Macaca mulatta: one gene and its partner. The protein of the gene in region 1 binds, or shares a complex with, the protein of each later gene. Links are inferred from orthologs where the notes say so. Each region holds a gene or a part of one and is shown on either strand. Other genes may lie near its edges.

Region 1 (9,534 bases):
TTTCTGCCTCCAAAGAAAGAAGTAAAAACTAAAAGGCAGAAATGAAATCCACAGGCAGACAGCCTGGCGCCACACCCTGGGCCTAGTAGTTAAAAGACTGACCCCTGACCTAATTGGTTATCTATAGATTACAGACATTGTATAGAAATGCACTGTGAAAATCCCTATCCTGTTTTCTTCTGATCTAATTACCAGTGCATGCAGCCCCCACCTGCTTGCTCAATCAATCATGACCCCCTCACACGCACCCCTAGAGTTGTGAGCCCTTAAAAGGGACAGGAATTGCTCACTCGGGGAGCTCGACTCTTGAGACAGGAGTCTTGCTGATGCCCCGGCTGAAAAAACCCCTTCTTTAACTTGGTGTCAGAGGAGTTTTGTCTGCGGCTCGTCCTGCTACTATACCTTTTATGGGAGTTTTCACAACGTGCAAAGGGAGAGAAAGCATGCTCCATCAATGGTGCTAGTTCAGTATGGCTAGCTACAGCTGTACAGCAGAAATGAAGGTAGAGCTGGAGTCAGGGGCTAAGAAGGGAGTTTAGCCTCTACCCTGCCGGCAGTAAGAACCATTGGTTTAAGTCAGGAGAGAGGGTATGAAATCAGATTCGTTTGGGAATGTTTACTCTAGCTGTAGTGGAGATTAGATTGAGGCAGGCCTGTAGGCAGGATCAGTTAAGTGGTTGCTGTGGCACTGTATGTCCAAACTAAGACTGAATAGAACAGAGGCAACTGATCTATAAAAGTATATTGAAAGATGTTTTGAGCTGACTAGAGGTGGTGGCTTAAGCAATTAAGCAGCTGAAAACTCCAAAGAAAACGGAGCAGAGAACACAGTACTGTCAGGACATAGGGTAGGTTGGGAGGGGAAGGAGGTCAGTTTGGAAAGCACTGAGATTTTTTTCTGTGGGATATTTAAGCAGAGATACATGTTCAGTATGCAGCTGCTTACATGGCTCAGAAAGGAAATCAAGGTTGGAGATAGACTTGTGTGTCTGTAAATATGTGCCATCAGCTTAACTGCTGAAGGTGATCTACAACATATATGCAGGATAAAGGACTTTGAAAAGGAAACCAAGACAAAAATATGACTTGCCCAAGATCATCCACATGGTGGAGAAAAGAATTAAGACAGACCCAGTTCTGTCTAATCCAATACCTTTGCCCTCTCCCATTGCTCAAATGAGAAATCTGCAAATTCACTGGAAACTGTAAAGTGTTATAAATGTATGAACATGTCTATTAAAGTGGCTTAAGAGTTCTAACGGAGTGATTATATTGCTTTTAATTGTCACAGTAGAAACTCACTTAGAAAAGAAAATGCTGGCCTTGGTCTTATTCAAAGACAGAATATGGGAGGAAGCCAAATGTTCAGCCCTAGGTCAAAAGTTTTATTCAGGTTTATGTGGCTTGTACACTTGCCAGTATTTACTTCAAAAGGTAACAATTCCAAGGTGATTTTTCTATTACAAGTAGTATCACTTAGTATACTTTTGAAACATGGTACAACTTCTCTGACATTTAAAATGAACAGATGTAACTGGCATTATAAAATTTTCTAATATATAAGGTCAACAAACTACACGGCAAGTATTCGGTGTAATACTTTATTTTCTACTGTATTAAACGAAAGCCAGGAAAATACCAAGTTATTTAAAGGCAAATCTTTACTCCTTAAAGAAAAAATACAAACTGTGGTATTTTTAAGATAGATCGTTATATTTTACATAATATAAACAAAATCACTAATGCATCTATATGCTTGGTTTCCTTAAACTACAATGAACCACAGAATGGGTGAAAATGCATTTACTTTTTGGTGGCAAATAAACATATTGGAAAAAACACGTAACACATAGCATGCCTTTTTTTCCTTACTGTCTACACACAGGAACTGACATAACCAAGATTTAATAGCCACCACCTCCTCTCCCCTGTCCAAAGTAGCCACCTCCATAGGCCCCCCTACCACCTCCTCGCTGGAATCCCCCAGATCCTCTGTAGCCTCCACTAGGCCCTCTGTAGTCTCCTCCAGAGTTGCCTCTAAAGCCACCTCGGGAAACTCCTCTATAGCCTCCACCAACACCTGCACCATATCCTGCCCGAAAGGAGTTGGGGCTGCCACCATAGCCTCCGCTACCATAGCCTCCGCCACCATAGCCTCCACTGGTATAGCCACCGCCATAGCCTCCACCGCTGTAACTAGAACCTCCCCTTCTATATCCGCTTCCATTGTCGTATCGGGCCATCTTGGGAGGACGTGGACCATCTCCATACCTAGGAAAAGCACAAAACCATCACTTCAGCAAAGCATTCTTATTATTTCCCAACCACTCACCAAATGCACACAGTTAGTTATATTTGAAAATTTAATACATAAAGGGAATGAAGCCAAACGCACAAATCGAAATTGAAACAAAATTGATCTGCTATTCTAAAACAGTCATCAATTATATCCATCTGTTTTTCTGAAGTTCTTTCTGGTTCAATCTCAAAGGTTTTGAATTTTGGCAGTATGTCATTACAACTTTAAGAAGTGCTCTTACTCAGGTCAACAACATAGTGTTCCAAGAAGGCAAGCATTAGGAGAGGGTTCCTGGAGCTGCCAATAAACTATTTGGTCTTTATCACTAAAAGTTTTCCTGCAATAATTCTGAAATACGATTTTGAAAAATGTATATCTAATTTTGAAAAATTCTATCTACTACTGTAATTTAGGCCACCACATATTCATACATCCTAAACTCTCTTACGTATATCCCTTTCTTTCTAGTTTCTGGACTACTATCCCTCATAGAAACAGATTATATATACAAAGGTTCCTTGCTTACCAGCCCTCCTACCAAAAATAATCTCTCTTCTCCTAAACACCCATGAATACTTAATTTGTTATCTGCCTATGATGCTTACTGAATTATCCTATACATTTAAGCACCTAGGAGGGCCACAGTAAAGCCTAGTAAGAACACTGTTTCAGGAGGCATGTTGCCTGGGTTTGAATCTGGTTCTATCAGTTATTAGTTGTATGACCTTGAGTCTTATCTGTGCCCGGTTTCCTTATTTATATTAAAGAGAATGAGGATAACCATCTACCCATTTTATAGACAGACCAAATGCAGTAAGTCATTTTTGATGAGGAATTAGAGGTCATTTTTGGATAACTGGAAGGATTTTAGTACAATAGCATATTATAGTATTACTAAAACACTTAAGGTTTTGGGGTGGTATTGTGACCATGTTCTTAAAAGATATGAAGTGTATTGATGTAAAATGTGGTAGTGCCTACTACTTCATCACAAATGATTAAGGAAATGTACAAAACGCTGAAAATTAGTGAATCTAAACAAAGACTATATGGCTAAACATTGTATCACTTTTCTGCCTTTTTGGCAAGTATCAAGTATTTGTAAATAAAAACTCATGGGCAAAGGAAAAAATTTTAAAACCTGAAGCAAATAAAAATTTTAAGAATTAAGATAAATTTCTCATTTCTTTGCTTTAAGATGTCCATGCTCTTAGTTGTTTAAGATAAACAAAAACACATACACATTGGATAAAGAAGCAATTTAACATCTCATCAATATTTTTTCTTTAGAGATGCCAAAACAGTACCATGGAAAAAGGGCTATCTGGGCTGTGTCACTTCCCTGTCATGTGACCTACTCTGAACTACGTATGTGTATTTGTAAGATCCTTTTCCAACACTACCAATACGCACTGATGCGGTAGACCAATTACTAACAAAGGGACTAACAAAAGTAAATGACATTTTTGTTCTGAGTTTGTTAGATGGAACTAAACTATCTGTATCTAGAATTTTACTTAATAAGGCTTCTATCACTAACTCTAGGAATTCTAGACCTATGAAAGATCTCTCCCCTCTACTTGGTTCAATGAGAAGTTAATATGGTACTCACCGTGTACTGCCAATCATAAGGTTGATACCAGCAGCTGAGGGTCTAGAGATTTGACGGATCATGTTCAGCATACGTTCATTTACAGGGTCCAACTGGCTGATGATAGCAGGTTGTTTGGTTACTTCAACAACAAGAGCCTCCATGGCTGCCCGGAGACCGGTGATACAGGCAGCAGCTTCATGAGATATTTGCAGTTTAATCCTAAAGTGGCGAAAAACATTAAAAGTAAGAGAGGGAGTATATGAAGAAAAAGACCATTATCTCTCAACCTCACACATGGCAAGTTAAAGAATAAATTTAACTTCTTAAGCATTAATATTTTTAAAAACTACTTAAAGTCTATCAAGCCAAATAAAATACAAAAATATATGTAATATATAATAAACAAAAGAAAGTCCGGCAATATGGATCATTCAGACTTATTATTTTTTGAGACACAGTCTTGCTCTGTTGCCCAGGCTGGAGTGCAGTGGCATGATCTTGGCTCACTGCAACCTCTGCCTCCCAGGTTCAAGTGATTCTCCTGCCTCAGCCTCCAGAATAGCTGGGACTACAGGTGTGCACTACCACACTGGGCTAGATTTTTTGTATTTTTAGTAGAGACAGGTTTCACCATGTTGTCCAGGCTGATCTCGAACTTCCTGAGCCCAACTCATCTGCGGCACCCAGCCAGATCATCCAGACTTTAAAAGAATGAATTAAGAGACCCAGAATGCTGGCATTTTCTAGGTTTTCAAGAATATGATGGCTGAGCCTACTGGCTATCCATTAAGCTCTATTCCATTTTTGCCCAGTGCTTGCCACTAGTTTTGAATCAATATAGAGAGTATGTGAAAGTGTATTCAAGTTTCACTTAGATTGATTCCATAGTGGTGTGCATAGTGGTTAGACATGGCTCAAATTTCTAATGCATCTGCTTCTACTGGTATCCGTTTAAGTATATACTATGCAATTAAGTTAGATATAATTAGTATATATTTAAGTTATAATTAGTATATAATTAAGTTAGATTAGCAGCTGAATTCCATCATATTATAATTCTAAGAATTCAGTTTGGAGTTCACAGCGGAAAATCCATACCAGTCATCTACAAGCACGATCTGCCCATCAGATTGGACTTTCTTGGAGGCAAACAGAAGCAACTGCAGGGGGGTGACTAAAGTCATGCCTTTAGCAGAGATGGCTCGAGTTCGAATCTGCAAATGGAGAAAGAGACAGTACAAAATGGTTGACATTCCAACTTCCAAATACCGCCACATACTGTGCTTTGAAAATCAAAATTCATATTCCTAATGATTGTGAAGACAATTTCAACTTTCAATGTTAACTTTTGTAGTCTTTTCTTACCTTTTCACCAAATACAAAGAAGGGAGATGGGTACTTCATGTCTTGGCTACTAAAAGGACAATTAACAGATGATTTATGGATAAGTGCATTACGTCCTTCAGTGGTGAGAATCTTTCTCTTTTCCTTATGATAGCATACATTGGGGTACACACCAAAGGCCAGGAGGGAGATAACAACATCCAAATTATTATCTGGTCCAGTGTTAGTAAACACTTGTGTCAACAAACAATCTGTTAAGAGGAGCAGAGTGAAAAGAAAAATCAGATAATTGGCTGATCTTCACATTACATGCAAACTATTCAAGAAAATTCAGAGAACTGACTCTTCCTCTCTTCACATAACCTGTCTGTAAAACTTTCTCATCTGCTACTCTTCAATAGTTGTTAGTTGTAGAGAAGATGGAATGATAATCTAAGAGGACACCTACTGGAATGAAGGCTGACGTTTTTACCCAGTCTACACTTTATGAGTACTTAGCTACTGACTGGAAAGCATGACAGTCAACCGCTGAAAGCACAGACATATTTTGTTCTAGACAAACGAGTTCTAGCCTTATAACCTCGTAATTGGATAAATTAAAGACAATTTATACCTTGGTGCCTGTTTCATTACTTATAAAATGCATCTCAAGACTCTAGCACATAAAAAGTTTTCCCTTTCTTATAATTCTGAGGAGAAACTAACATTTCAGCTGGCTTATGACAGAAGAGAACCACTCACTACTCTGTTAAGTTATTCCAATCACAGCCGTTAAAAATTTACCATCTTGCCCAACTACCTTCTGTCTCTCAACAGTCTTATCTCTGGTTATGCATTCCAGTTCTCAATGTTTTAGGAAATAATTCTATATTTTAACCTAGTTGGAAAAGAAAAGTACTACAGTTCATCTTTATATTAAAGCCATTTAAAATTTAATGTGGTAGAATTTACTTCAAGTCTAAATGCTAATCAATTACTTTGCAAACCACTATAAGGTTATCAGCAAAGTACTCATTCTGGGAGCTGGACCAGTATCCATGAGAACTAAGAAATAGTTGGGAATATAGAAAAATCATAGGGTCTAAAATTTGAAGCTAAAATACACTTTGCTGTCAATTTGCATGTACTATATAAATGTCACTTTAAAGGTATCTTAAGAATGGGAGTCTTACCTTCTGGAAACCCAGAATTAATCAAAATCTCTTTGAGTTGAACTTTGGCTTCCCAAGTCATTCTTAGTGTAGCCATATTAAGTCTTTTGTGCTCACAAAAACGTATCTCTGCTTCTTCTCCACCCATTCTAAAATAAATCGGTATGAGAAATCATTCTCTAAGACCCGAGAACTAAATACAAATGAGAAACTACAGACAGACCACCCAAATCTTACTCATACCTAGCATCATCCCAGGCTTGGAATACTGATAAAAGGGCTACGTGATCAGAAAATCTGTTTCCAGCAAAATTTCGATGGATATAGCCCAGCCGCTTTCCTTCATTGATGAAAGGCTCTGGAAAGCAGGTAGCAGCAGCAATGGTACAGATAGCATCTCCCACGCTGAAATACACAAAGACAGTTAAATTCAGACTAGATCACAATATTGTTGCCAGCAGCTCAGGTAGTACTGTCGACAGTGAGTTGCAGTCTTTATGGCTATGATTCTACTTTTATTTGCAATGAAATTGGCTTAACAAAGAACTTTACAGCTGCTCTCTTCAGAATCAGAGAGAAAAAAAAAAAGGTGCGCTGACATTCCAATGGTCACGTACTTACCATAATTATGACCAAGTATATTTTTCCTTTAATATTCTCTCTCTCTTCCCCATCATACCAAATCTCTTTAATCTTCAACATTTTCTGATAAAATAAACCTCTTTTGCTGATGCTGCTCTTTCAAGACCAACTATTAATAACGAGGGACCCTCCCACCCCGGCCTCCCAAAGTACTAGGATTAAAGGTGTGAGCCACATTGCCTGGCCTGCTTTTTACTTATGAGAAATCAGTGCCCGTTTCCCCGTGTTGGGCCCAGATATCCATCTACTGGAACTGTACATTTTTTTCGTGTTATACTTCTCTCAATATTTAAGTATGTCACTTCCCTTAAGAACATTCAGAATTTTTTTGTCTGAGCCAATACTGCTTTTACAGGGAGAAGAAGATTCAGAAATTATTCTACCACTTAATGAAGAGAAATAAAACAAAGCACTTACTAGAAAATACACCCCATTATCATCATTTTCCCAAAACGAGGCTCAATGGGGAGTTTAGCCAGGATTCGTCCCAAAGGAGTCAACTCATCATTGGCATCTAATGCATCAAGCTCTGTGGGGAGATAGTTTTTTGTGAGTAGAAACAAATGAACACTAATTTTAGGCAGACAAAACATTACTTTCTAAATTAAGGTTAAGAGAGTTTAGACTTCCTCTTTTGTCAAGCCACTGCTAGTACCATGTCTATAGTCAACAATTCTCTTTACTCAAAAATAGAACAAAATCAAAATCTGGAGCACTCAACATAAGGAAGGTACAAAACTACATCCTGCAGGTTATAAAAACAAATACAATTCATATTAAGTCTATAAATACAGTATTAACTATAATAGCAGCATAAGTTTCTATATGCCATAAGAAGTCTGACACTCAACTGTTAATGTTTTAGAAAAAAAATAAAATCTGGAGAAAATTCTGAAGTTACATAGCAGATAAATGCTAGATTCAAAATTCAAATTCAGATCTAGCTCCAATGCCCTTAATTTTCACTGCACTATTTTCACTGCTTCTAATAAAACAACTTTAGCAAGAAAACATAAATGTTCCAGGCTGGACGTGGCTCACGCCTGTAATCCCAGCACTTTGGGAGGCTGAGGTGGGTGGATCACTTGAGGTAGGGAGTTTCAGACCAGCCTGGCCAACGTGGTGAAACCCCGTCCCTACTAAAAATACAAAAATTTGCCAGGTGTGGTGGTGTATGCCTGTAGTCTCAGCTACTCGGGAGGTTGAGGCAGAAGAATGGCCTGAACCTGGGAGGTGGAGGTTGCAGTGAGCTGAGATCACGCCACTGCACTCCAGCCTGGGCAATGGAGCGAGATTCTGTCTCAAAAAAGTTCTAAGAGATTCATATGAAATTCTGTGGGTATCCTAAATTATGTTCTGATCTTTAGTACATAGTTAAGAGATGCCTTTTTAAGTTTTCTTTTGTAAAGTAACACTCACTGTCCCTTTCTTCCCTCTCATTGCTCATTAGAACAGGGACTATATTAAGTACCTAAGGTAAGACTGGAGGCCTTGCTATTATTATCACGGCCCTGTTGACTACATCTTGATTCATTTGTTGTGTTATCTGCCAGGATAAGACAGATGGTATGATTAATATCTGTGTCAAGTAGGTTTGCATTTGTTAAGTACCTCTAAGAGTGTGTTCTGCTTCAATCACAGCATCCAAAGGGGGAGGTTCAATTGCTTTGGCCAGAAATTGGCCAATTCCTCCCAGACGCAGAAGTTTTATGCTAAGAGCGATTTCATGCAATGGTGTTCGGAACATCTCTGGTGTCATGTGGGTTTCAAGTCTGAGAGAAAACAAGCATAAAATAACCATCCTCCTTGTGTATACACAGATGTTAGTTTAATAAACTTTTTTCAGCAAGGTAATCAGGGATAGAGCTGCCCTTTCCTCATCCTTTTATTTTACAATTACCATCGAACCTTTTATCATTCACTATACACACTGTTGACAAAATTTAATCTGGCTGCATAGTGGTTTCTGACCTATCCTCACAGCTTGATGGCCTTTCCAGCTGAGAAGAAAAATGAAAAAATTATCCAAAATCTCGAATGCTATTAGCTCCACCCATGGTCTCTTCAGGCCTTGCCTGTTGACAAACATGGGTTAAAAACGACAACACCACTTTTTGTAGGATAACTCATACTGACATTTCTCTACAACCTCCCACCTTCCTAGTTCATGTAATTTTAGTGCCACTAGAAAGGCTCTTACAGATGTAACTCTTTAAAATCCAAAACTTTTTGACTTCTGACATGACACTTAAAGGAAATGCTCACTAGAGCATTTTGGATTTCATGTTTTCAGATTAGGGATGCCAAACTGGTAAATACAATGCAAATATTACAAATAAATCAAAATCCACTTCTGGTCCCAAGTATTTCAGTTTTAAAAGAGATATCTGACCTGTATAAATTAACAATAGCAAACACTTATTGGGAGATCATGATGTGCCAGACACTGTTCAAAGTATTTTACATTATTAACTCATTTAATTTCTTATACTAATCCTATGGGT
Region 2 (10,622 bases), about 36 Mb from region 1:
ATAAATCTTAGGAACTCAAAATACAATTAATGTACATAAACCACGTAAGAAATTACTTACACCCTGCTGCCACTGGTTGTAGCCCTGAGATTGATTTTTGTAGCCACGATTGTTTCCTCGTCCTCTGAAGTTCTACAAAAAGGAAACAGATCTAAGAGCTCTGGGCCCAATCGCTTGTTAGGTTTGCGGGGGTGGGAGAGAGGAGCAGAAATGGACAGGTTGCTAGCCCCTAATCTTAGGGGGCAATATACAAATTCTGGATACCCTCTGCTGGTTTCTTAGTTTTTATTTTTTATTCATTATGAGAAACGCATCTGACTTGTTAATTAGTACACCTGAAAAAACTCAAAAGTAAGTAGACTCATTTCACCATTACTAGTTCAATTTTCCTTATGTCAATGCCTATCATGTTCCTTATGGACTACTAAGACACCCCAACATAAAGCTCACAACTTTCCAGATTAAGCTATACAGATATCATCATGCTTCCAGGGATCTTTAATCATTACCTGGTTGTAGTTCCCTCTGTTGGGCATTCCACCTCTGTTGTAGTTCCCTCTGTTTGAATAACTACCACGGCCAGGAAAAACAGGGGCACGAGGGTATGGATAGCCGATTCCACCACTTCCACCGCCGCCACCACCTCTCTGTGGCATGTTGCCCCTCCTATTATATCCGCCACGATTCCCAGGGGCTAAAAAACAAGGGATGTTTTAGTTTCATTGCATTGTACCCTACTTATACAGAAGACTCAGGATTCCTCTAGATTGTTCCTTTTTCTCCAAAAATAATTGTTTAAAGACAAAAGTAATGTTTAATTCTAACCATTAACAACATAACCTAGGTGTATTTACTGTCAAATTACATGAATACTAATTACTGTGACAGCATACCATTAATGAGGAAGAAACCAGCTATATCCAAACTATAAAATTATCATTTGTTTCGATCCTGAACTAAATACAGAACACTCAAAATTAACTTGCCTCCTCCTCTGAAATTTCCACCACGCATATTGAATCCTCCACGTCCTCTATGGCCACCACCTCTGTTAAACTGGTTCTTGCCACTCTTATTTTTATTGCTTTTCTTTGAGCCAGTGTTCTGTTTCTTTTCTGGTGGAAGAGCCTTTTTGCTTTCTTCCTTATATTGCTCCAAAAGTTTTTGGGCTTCTTCCTTCTGAAGTTCAACATAGGTTATTTCATCAAAGCACTCAGCTACCTCTGGGAGGGTAAAGTTTCCTGCAGGAAACAAAGTCGTATTATTAACTTAGAAACCCACCACAAATCCCCACAATCCTAAAGCTAACAAATTATTAAGGTTTAGTAACGTATTTTCCTAAAAATAAACAGAAATAGACCAAACATATATGCATATTTAACAAGTGCAATTGTAATTCCTGAAGCAGTATTGCTGGAAAAAATGTTAACTTTTCAGAGGAGTAAGTCCTAATAGATATAACAAAGTTACACAAGCAGAATATGCATGGAAAAAAAAAAAAAAAAAGATTTAACACACTTAACAGAATTAAATTAAAATTCCATGCCTTTCATTTTGAGGACCGCATGTTCTGGTAAGTCTTTCCCCTCTACTTCTGCTTTCTTCTGTGTTCTTTGCTTATAGTCTTCATCTTTTGGGCACACTACAACAGCTTTTCGCTGGAAGCCTGCGAACAGGCACATTTTTCTCCTCTGGGCAGCAGCAGACACATTTGTCTTTAAAAAAAGAAATTTATGTTTACAACCCTAAATGTTAATTCTACACCAATCTATCTAAATTATCAGTTAATATTTTTCATCTTCAAAGCTACAGCATACCTGATCCAGAATGAAATTTCGCTTCTTTCGGGCAGCAATCTCAATAAATTTCCCAAGACACTGTGGGGCTCTCTGCAACAGTGTGTTCAGTTTTCCAGTATCTGCCATTTGCTTCTTAAAACCTGCCACCTATATTCAAAAGTTAAAATTTCCCCTTGAACTTGTGAATTTTAATAAGTTATGCTTTTTAAAATTCAACTCTCATCTATATGTAAAGCAGGCAACATACATTACCTTTGTCCATTATTGTTACAAAAACAGGGTCACTTAAACTATGTAACAAGACCCTACACCCTACACTTAATTCTTTTTAGCTTCTAGAAACACTAGCAGCTCCTGTGCTCAAAAACACAGAAGCCTAGCCACCGGAAGGCAGTTTACCCTCACAGAGCTTACTTAAAGAACCAACTTAATCTTGCCTTTCCTCCCACCTTCTTAAGATATTAACAAAATGGATACAGACAAAGGCAAAAGGTTTACCTAGAATACCTCCTAGTCTATCATTTTTCTTTTTTTTTTTTTCTGAGACAGAGTCTTGCTCTGTCGCCCAGATTGGAGTACAACGGCACGATCTCGACTCACTGCAACCTCTGCCTCCCAGGTTCAAGTAATTCTCCCTGCCTCAGTCTCCCAAGCAGCTGGGATTACAGGTGCCCACTACCACGCTTGGCTAATTTTTGTATTTTCAGTAGAAATGGGCCTTTGCCATGTTGGCCAGGTGGGTCTCAAACTCCTGACCTCAGGTGATCCATCCACCTCAGTCTCCCAAAATGCTGAGATTACAGGCGTGAACCACCATGCCCAGCCTTCTCCTCGTCTATTTTAAACACTGAGATGAGGCCCTGAACATTTTACTTACCATCATTTTATCCATAATAGTATTTGTGCCAAGAATGTTGTATTTCCCTGGATTTTCCGCTGCATGCTTAGTAACCCAGGTAGTTTTTCCAGCTCCTGGCAAGCCAATCATCATCACAACCTAGTGAAAATAATGAAATGTCATTAGACACCACCTAATAATTCTTTAAATATTGTTCTATTAAGGCCAATTTAAATATCTAAGTCTTCATAGCCCTTATACTAAGGGACAAAAATTTGTGTTTATGGAAAGAGTAACAGTCAACATAAGGGGAAAACAATGGTTACTTAAGAGAAATATGTACAGCACAAAGTAAACAGACTAATCATCTACCTCTTCTAAATGTCATTTTGTGCCAGTCAAACAATATTCAAATGCCAGTTAAAAAAAAAAAAAAAAATCACTTACTTCACAATCTTTCTTCTCTTCAGGCCCCTTTGGTCCTCTAACTCGATCCTCTAAGGGGACATTCTGGATAAAAGTATACTCTTCAGGTATTGGAAAATATGGCTTTTCCTTCTGACCAAAATTAAATTCAACTGCACAGTTGTGGCAGAGAACATGCGGGAAGAGTGGCCGTCCAGCAAGAACTTCCTTACTGATTTTGAAAGCAATGCCAAGATCTTGTCCATTCTTAGCATAGGAGAGTTCTACTTCATCACTTTCAAAGTTCTGTTAAACAGCAAAAAATTCAAGTTATCTGCTTCCTATAAACTTTCTAAAAAACTAATAATTAAAATTAGGAGCAAAGCTTATCCTGTGGGAGCTACAGGTTAAACAACTATTAAGTGGCCTCTAAGGGCTACACAGTTAAGAAATCTGATGGTTACAAACAATGAAGCACGTATCTCCAGAACCAGAAACAATAGTGACCTAGAAGTTAGACTAAATTTTCTAGGTCAATTTCATCTTCATTGTTTTCAGTCAAAATGAAATTAGTGAGTTCCTCAAAAATGTCCTGTATTTTCCCAATTCAACTGCTGAATGAGTATTTATACTAACCCAGGGACTGGTGTATTTATGTTGCTCCTATTGAAGATTGACCTTAATAAAGCTTCTTAAAAGTTCCTAGATATAGCTACTAATTTGCCATTTATACATAGAAAGTTAGCTTTAACTTACAGCAAAACATGTAATCACATCATTTTCATCAAACTTTTCTCCATAATCTTCAGTCTCACAGTTGCATGTTTTTATTCCTTTTAGAGAATACCCGTAAGAAAATTCTTCTTCACCTAAGAAAGTAATTAACCTTCGTGAAGTAGATTTTTAAAATAGTCCAAAGACTCATCTATTTCACTACTTAAAATGTAGGCTACAAGAGAAATGAGCATATAACCTAATCACCTGTCACTGACACTATTACTTTTCTACCTCTGTACTAGAATTGATGAAAGTTAGGAGGGATATATATATATGCAGAGACCAAATTAGTTGACAATTTGCATATCATGGGTAAGATTTTATTTCAACCATAAACTTCTAATAAAGGAACAAAAACTAAAATGTAGCCTGTGCCTACTATGTGCTAATATTACTTGTCTGAAGTATTAACAGAATAGATAAAAACAGACAAAAGGCTTAGAATGCCTTCTAGTCTGGTTAAAAAATAAGGATATCAGACCCTCCTAAACATTCATGAGCCCACATCAGTCAAAAAGAATCTTTACCAAGTAACATTCCACTTGTAGTTAGTGACCAGCCAATACGAACTTCATGTATGTCAATATCTTTTGTATATAAATGCCTTACTGGGATCTTCTCTGTAACCTGAAAGTCGAATCATTAAATAATTAAAATCATAAACCAAGGAGGTAACCCCTTAACTCTGGCTTATTTCATAGGGTCATGAGCTAATCTTCCTCGAGCTATAAATACAAAGAGATGGCACACTCTAGCCCATCCCTAATATTTGTAAGAACTTTAAACTGATGTGCTTATAACTTGAAATGTTAAATACTTATTTGACCCATATTTAAAAGAATAGTTAATATTTTTACAGTTCATGTTGTCAGTCTTCAACTTAAAGCCAATTAAAGGATACATTTAATGTTTTTCTCGCCAACAAAACCTGTAATCTAACCAAATTTTATTTTTCACTCTTTGGTGGCCCTTTCAAATGCTTGATAAAAATGAAGTACCCTAAATAAAAAGTTGCCTAGCTCTGCATGTCAAGTTCTAACATAACTTAACTGTCACAACAAAATGAAGGTTCCAAGTTCCTCTTTTAATTTACAGGAAGCTTCAAAAAATAAGTACCTCTGATAACTTAGCAGTATGAAGCACCTGTAATTTCAGTATTCTGGGAGGCCCAGGCAGGCAGATCACTTGAGCTTACGAGTTCAAGACCAGCCTGGGCAACATGGTGAGACCCTGTCACTATTTTAAAAAGAAAAAAAGAAAAGAAAAAAAAAGGCTGGGCGCGGTGGCTCAAGCCTGTAATCCCAGCACTTTGGGAGGCCGAGGTGGGTGGATCACCTGAGGTCAGGAGCCCCGTTCTCTATTAAAAATACAAAAATTAGCCAGGTGTGGTGGCACGTGCCTATAGTCCCAGCTACTTGTGAGGCTGAGGCAAGAAGAATCACTTGAACCCAGGACGAGGAGGTTGCAGTTGAGCCTGGGTCACACCACACCAATCCAGCCTAGGGGACAGAGTGAGACTCTGTCTCCAAAATCAAACAAAAACATCATAAAATTGCATTTACCTTCATCTCAAAACACACTTTGCCTTTTGACACACCATAAGATGCTCTTCCTCCAGCCCAAAGAAAAGCAAAACTTTCCATTGTAAGGGAAGAAGCACTGAGACGATCTCTTGATATTTTAAAATGTAGATCACAATTATCTGTAATTATATCAAATACTGTGTTACTTTTGACATCCAATGTAAACATATATGCTATGTAGAGAAAACTTGGTTATTTAATTTTTGCATGTACTTAACGCTGCACAACTTTTCTCCACATCATGCTGTTGTTCCAATTTTCAGTTTAAAGCCCCACTCCCACCAAGTCACTCCTTTTAAATTATGTACTGAAAAGTAAACTGCCTCTGAAACTAATACCAAGGTTTAACATGTATATTTTAAGTATTTAAAATAATCAAGACAATGTGACATTAATACATACCTGCTCTGCTCTTTACCTTGATTTAGAGGCAAGCAGTAGAGGATAGCAGGAAATCAAAGTGAAGCATGCCAGAACCAGGTAGATTTACCAGTGCCACATTAAAACTGAAGGGAGGCCACGACCAAATTATTTTGAAACAGGAGTATGAGCTGCTGTTGATCCTGCACCAGGGCTCTAGCTCCTAAATTCTTCTTCTAAAACTTGTGAAGAAGACAGCCTAAATCTATGAAGTACAAACCTGGCCGTCTAATGCTGTTAATAGTGCAGCATTTTAGGTCCTCTTTACCCAGGACTGCCTGTTCAACAATTAGGGATTAACTGCTTCCCGGATTATCCAAATCCAAAGTGTCTTTAACCTAGCTACCTATGGGTCACTGGCTCATTAACATGCACCTTCTCAGACTTCTCACTTCAACAGCTAAAGTCAAGCTGGAATTCAATTTTTTTTTTACTGATCAGAGAAAAATAAATCTACAGTTTGGAATTTTTCTTAAATTAGAATTACTGTAATCAGCAGAATTTAATTCAACAGATTGTTTGAATTCAACATTGTGTTTATATTGACATATGCCTATCTGATTTGCTAAAAAATCTAACAATTACATTACCTGCATGAGTCACCACTTCACTACCTTGCCAATTCCTAGCAACTTTTTATTTACACAACCCAGAATTTCACATAAAACTTTCAAATCAACTAACTCCTTTTTCACCTGCAGTTTTTTACTTTAAAAAGGCTCAGATGACTATCTCAACCTTCTGTAAAGGACATTCCAGTAAGAAAGAGTTTTACATTTACACTCTTACAAATCTGAATAAAACCAAATTGTACAAGAAAACATGAGAAGCTAAGCTTCAATGCCCTCCATCTAACAGAGCAGGCTGACACCACAGCTGATACTTTCAAACAGGTATTTCTATTCTTTGGTCTATTTATCACACCCAGAGTTGTGAATTCTGGTCACTAAACCAACTACTTTTTTTTATAACAACAACAAAAAAAATGCAAGTCTGACAGTCAAAGCCCACTTAGAGGTTTGCAATACTTTCTCATACTCAATTGCAACCCAACTGGGTGAAGTAGCAGTATTTACAGTGCTGCACTGCCATTGATACCATTCGCTGCTGAAGAAAGCTAGTGGCCCAGTGATAGCCCACTGCTGCTGCCTCAGGTCTTTGGAAGAAATCAACTTATGTTTAAAGCAGCAGCTACTGAACTGGAATTGAGAACAAAAGAGCAGTTATTGAAAAAATAATATTACAATCTTTTAGAATAGGGAATATACTTGTGTGCTAATGGGAGAAGTCATTAGTAAATATTTAACTAGCCCAAATAGCTCACTTAATATAATTCCACAAAAAAATGAATTACTTTATTGTAGAAGCCTGTAAGGCTAAATTATAGGTAGTGTTACAAGTTTCCGTTAGCTAGTCAGAAACTGGCATTAATTTTACATTTCCTAAGAACGAGAACTTTCAAGTCATAAAAATATGAAACTCCTAGAGCCTGTAAAATAATCCATTTGATACAACTGATGCCGTGCTAAATATTAAACTACTAGGTTCTGAATATAAACCATTATCTCTTCCTGCTTTTAAAAAAACCTAACCCAACTTTTGCTGCACTTAAGCATTAAGTTTTCTAACATTTTGGAAGCAAAAAAAAAAAAAAAACCATCACCGCATTTCATAATTGGGGAGAAACAGCTTCACTTACAAGTATCAAGACAAACCACTGTGTCATCGAAGTGTTCATCTTCTTCTTCAACCGGTGGCTGAGGAGATTTGGCTCTGAAAGACAGAATTGTCTCCTGATACAGCTTTCCGATCAACGAACGAATAAGGGATGACAAGTAAAACTAGGTGAGCATCCTATACCTGCTATACTTGTTCTCTTCAATGTACTCAAAATATCCACGGCCATGATCTTCTCGTGGTCTTTTAACACCCCTCTTTTTATCTCCGCCTTTCTGTTCTGTTTTGCCGTCCCCTAAAACACACAAGACCCCCATAAGAGGCCAAGCCGCTAAACAACAACAAAAAAACGCTTTTCCGTTCCGAGAAGCAAAGCAGCTCGACTTTATCCTGCTTTTTAACCGAGGTTTTAACCGAGGACTCAAATGTGAATTCGAAGAACAATCAGCTACGAATTGGATTAGCGCTAGTGACGCAGTCTAAAGACGTTACGAATTTTGCCAGTCTCCTCGATGATTCGAGAAACCCAAAGAAAAACTGCGCGGCCCAGGCCCGAAGCCCACGTGTATCGCGACCAGGGCGCAGGAGGGGGAGGGGCCGAGCCCGGCGCGGCGGCGCTCCCCTCCCCCGCGGGCCCGCGCTCCCCGCGGCCGCATTGTACTGATCTTCCGCCCCCCGCCCCGCCCCGCCCGGCTCCTCCCGCAGGAAGTGACGTCACGCCGAGCCCCTGCGCTCCTTGCACAATACAGCGGCGAGGAGCCGCCAAAGCGCGCCCGCCCCGGGACCTGGGGCCTCTCCCCTCCCCCCGAGACATGTGCCCGCACCGCGCGCACGCAGCGCGACGGCGCCACCGCGGGCCGACCGGGCTCCCTCCCGCCGCCCGCCCGCGGCTCCTCCCCCTCCAGCGGCAGCTGCAGCTCCCCCCGGCTCTCGAGCCACATAATGGAGGCGCTGCCACCGCCGTCACACACACACACACACACACACACGAACACACGCACACACGCCCCGAGCCCGAGGCCTCTCGGCTAATCTGGGATTCCCCGCGCCCCCTCCCCCACCCGCCACCCTCCCCGCGGCCCCCCGCCCGCCCGGGGCTCCCTCCCCCTGCGGGGCTCCGGCAGGCCTGGGGCACGGTCCCCACCCCGCGCGGGCCTCCCGCCGCGCGCAACGTACAACGCAGCACTCACCCGCCGCCGGAGCCCCGGGGCGACCGCCGCCTCCGCCGCCTTCCGCCTTCTTCTTACCTCCCGCCTGCTGCTGGCCCTGCCTCGCCCCGGGCGGCGCCACCGTCACCGCGAACAGCGAGGTGGGGCCGCTGCTCTTCCCCGCGGCCTCCTTGGCGGCCCCGCGCTGCTGTTGGGTCTGTTGCTGCTGCGTCGCCGGCGGTTGAGGCTGCTGCTCCCCGTGCCCGTTCTCGTCGCCCGCGCCTTCCTCTTCGTCCCCGAGCTCATCTTCCCCTTCCTGGAAACCCTGATCGTCGCCGTTCTCGTCTTCCGAGGCGGCCTCCTCCTCCTCCATCGGGCCCGAGTCGGCCGCCCCCGCGGCCCCGTTCTCCTCTCCTAGCTCCATCTGGTCGCCGTCCAGGGCGGAGATTCCTTCCTCCTCCTCTTCCTCTTCCTCCTCCTCTTCATCGCCGCCGACCGCGGCCTCCTGCTCGAGGCCTGCTCCCGAGCGCCCGGCGGAATCCCCGCCCAGGTCTAGGCTGCCGTTCCCGGGCTCCATGGCGGGGCGGCCCCCGGCCTCCTCGTCGTCCAGCGCGGCCTGGAGTCGCTCCATGAGCTCGGCCTTGAGACCCTTGTCAGAAAGGCGTCGCTTCTTGAGCTCCTCTTTCAGCTCCGACACCTTCAGCTTTTTTACATTAACAGGCGAGGAACTCATGGTGAGGGCCCCGATTCACCGCTAGGCGCTGCCTCAAACTCGGCTCCGCTCACTCGGCCACTGGTGGCGGCTGCTGCGGCTGCTCCTCGGCCCGGGCGGCGGCTGCGGCTGCGGCTGGAGATGGGGTCGTGCTGCAGAGCGGATCCGCCTGGTGTCGAACGGCGCCAATTCCTTTCACCGAGTTCGCGAGGGAGACGCGGAGACTCGCCTGGCGCGAGCGAGCACGCAACGTCCTCTCGCAGGGGCGGCGCCGCGCACGTAATATAGGCGCCCCGCCCCCTGCGCTGACGGGAGCGCTGCGCAGGAGGAAAGCCGGAGCGCGCCCGCGCTCGGCCCCGCCCATTACCGTACTTACCTCCCCGCCCCCACGCCGAACCCGGGCTGAGAGCGCGGCGCAGGCCGCGCAGTGCGCTTCCAATTGGGACTGAGCAAATGGAGGAAAAGGAAACCGCCTTTCAGTTAAACCGACTCACTGCACAATCTATTGGCCTTTCTGGGTCTTTGGTGGCTATACTCGTTTGGCTTTTCGCCTTCCCAGCCTGGAGGCTGCTTTGTCCAAATGCTTTCTTCAGTCCTCAACTTGGCATTTCAACCCGAATCCGCCTTTTCTTCCATCTTAGATCTGCCTTCTTGTATGTTTCTCCAGCTTTCCGTTTAAAACTCCTTCAAATCGTTTTGACTGGTATAACACACATTGGCAACTGTTACACGCAGGGGCTCTTTTCAGCATAATGCTGTATTTGATTTAATATGTGTAAGTCCTGCTTTGCGAATTGGATTTTAAGTTCGAGAAGGGCAAGGGCAGAGCCGTTCTTTTGTCTGTTCCACACCCCGGGTGCAGGGCCTGGGAAGTAGAGGCTTTGCTTACTACTCCATACTGCAAACCCTAGTTTACCAGCCTTTGCAGGGCTATTCTCATGCTCTTAATAACCCTAAATAAACCACAGAATTGCATTTCCAAGTTTTCTGTACCTACCACAAAGACGGACCTCCAGTAAGGCTTGTTCTGTCCACTTTAGGACCTGGTCATCGGCTATGAAGTCTCAGTAGTTAACCATGAGGGTGAGACCCAGCTAGGTCTTTGATTATAGGCCCACTTGATTCTCTTCCTATTCCTGTAGAAATACTCTTGACCAAATCATTCTGAAACTTAAAGTTCATGAAAAATCAAGGGCAGTGATTTTGTTAAAAAAAAAAAAAAAAAAAAAAGGACTATCGCTCTTGAAAAGAAATCCGTTATTT

What was found.
Region 2: DHX9 (region 1) and HNRNPU share a complex: the UniProt entries of both Homo sapiens proteins name them as parts of the coding region determinant (CRD)-mediated complex. The link is inferred for Macaca mulatta from reciprocal best matches to the Homo sapiens genes DHX9 and HNRNPU.

What each region holds. Positions count from the first base shown.
Region 1 is NC_133406.1:40,342,951-40,352,484, reverse strand, and holds the end of DHX9 (ATP-dependent RNA helicase A), read right to left. Parts: intron 8,803-9,534; coding exon 8,642-8,802; intron 7,560-8,641; coding exon 7,448-7,559; intron 6,794-7,447; coding exon 6,632-6,793; intron 6,538-6,631; coding exon 6,410-6,537; intron 5,489-6,409; coding exon 5,259-5,488; intron 5,108-5,258; coding exon 4,992-5,107; intron 4,113-4,991; coding exon 3,912-4,112; intron 2,272-3,911; coding exon 1,905-2,271; 3' UTR 1,494-1,904; downstream 1-1,493. UniProt on the Homo sapiens protein: Multifunctional ATP-dependent nucleic acid helicase that unwinds DNA and RNA in a 3' to 5' direction and that plays important roles in many processes, such as DNA replication, transcriptional activation, post-transcriptional RNA regulation, mRNA translation and RNA-mediated gene silencing.
Region 2 is NC_133406.1:4,246,630-4,257,251, reverse strand, and holds the start of HNRNPU (heterogeneous nuclear ribonucleoprotein U), read right to left. Parts: upstream 9,619-10,622; 5' UTR 9,381-9,618; coding exon 8,690-9,380; intron 7,795-8,689; coding exon 7,683-7,794; intron 7,596-7,682; coding exon 7,522-7,595; intron 5,522-7,521; coding exon 5,382-5,521; intron 4,447-5,381; coding exon 4,347-4,446; intron 3,912-4,346; coding exon 3,799-3,911; intron 3,349-3,798; coding exon 3,085-3,348; intron 2,797-3,084; coding exon 2,677-2,796; intron 1,947-2,676; coding exon 1,818-1,946; intron 1,716-1,817; coding exon 1,547-1,715; intron 1,242-1,546; coding exon 987-1,241; intron 695-986; coding exon 510-694; intron 133-509; coding exon 61-132; intron 1-60. UniProt on the Homo sapiens protein: DNA- and RNA-binding protein involved in several cellular processes such as nuclear chromatin organization, telomere-length regulation, transcription, mRNA alternative splicing and stability, Xist-mediated transcriptional silencing and mitotic cell progression.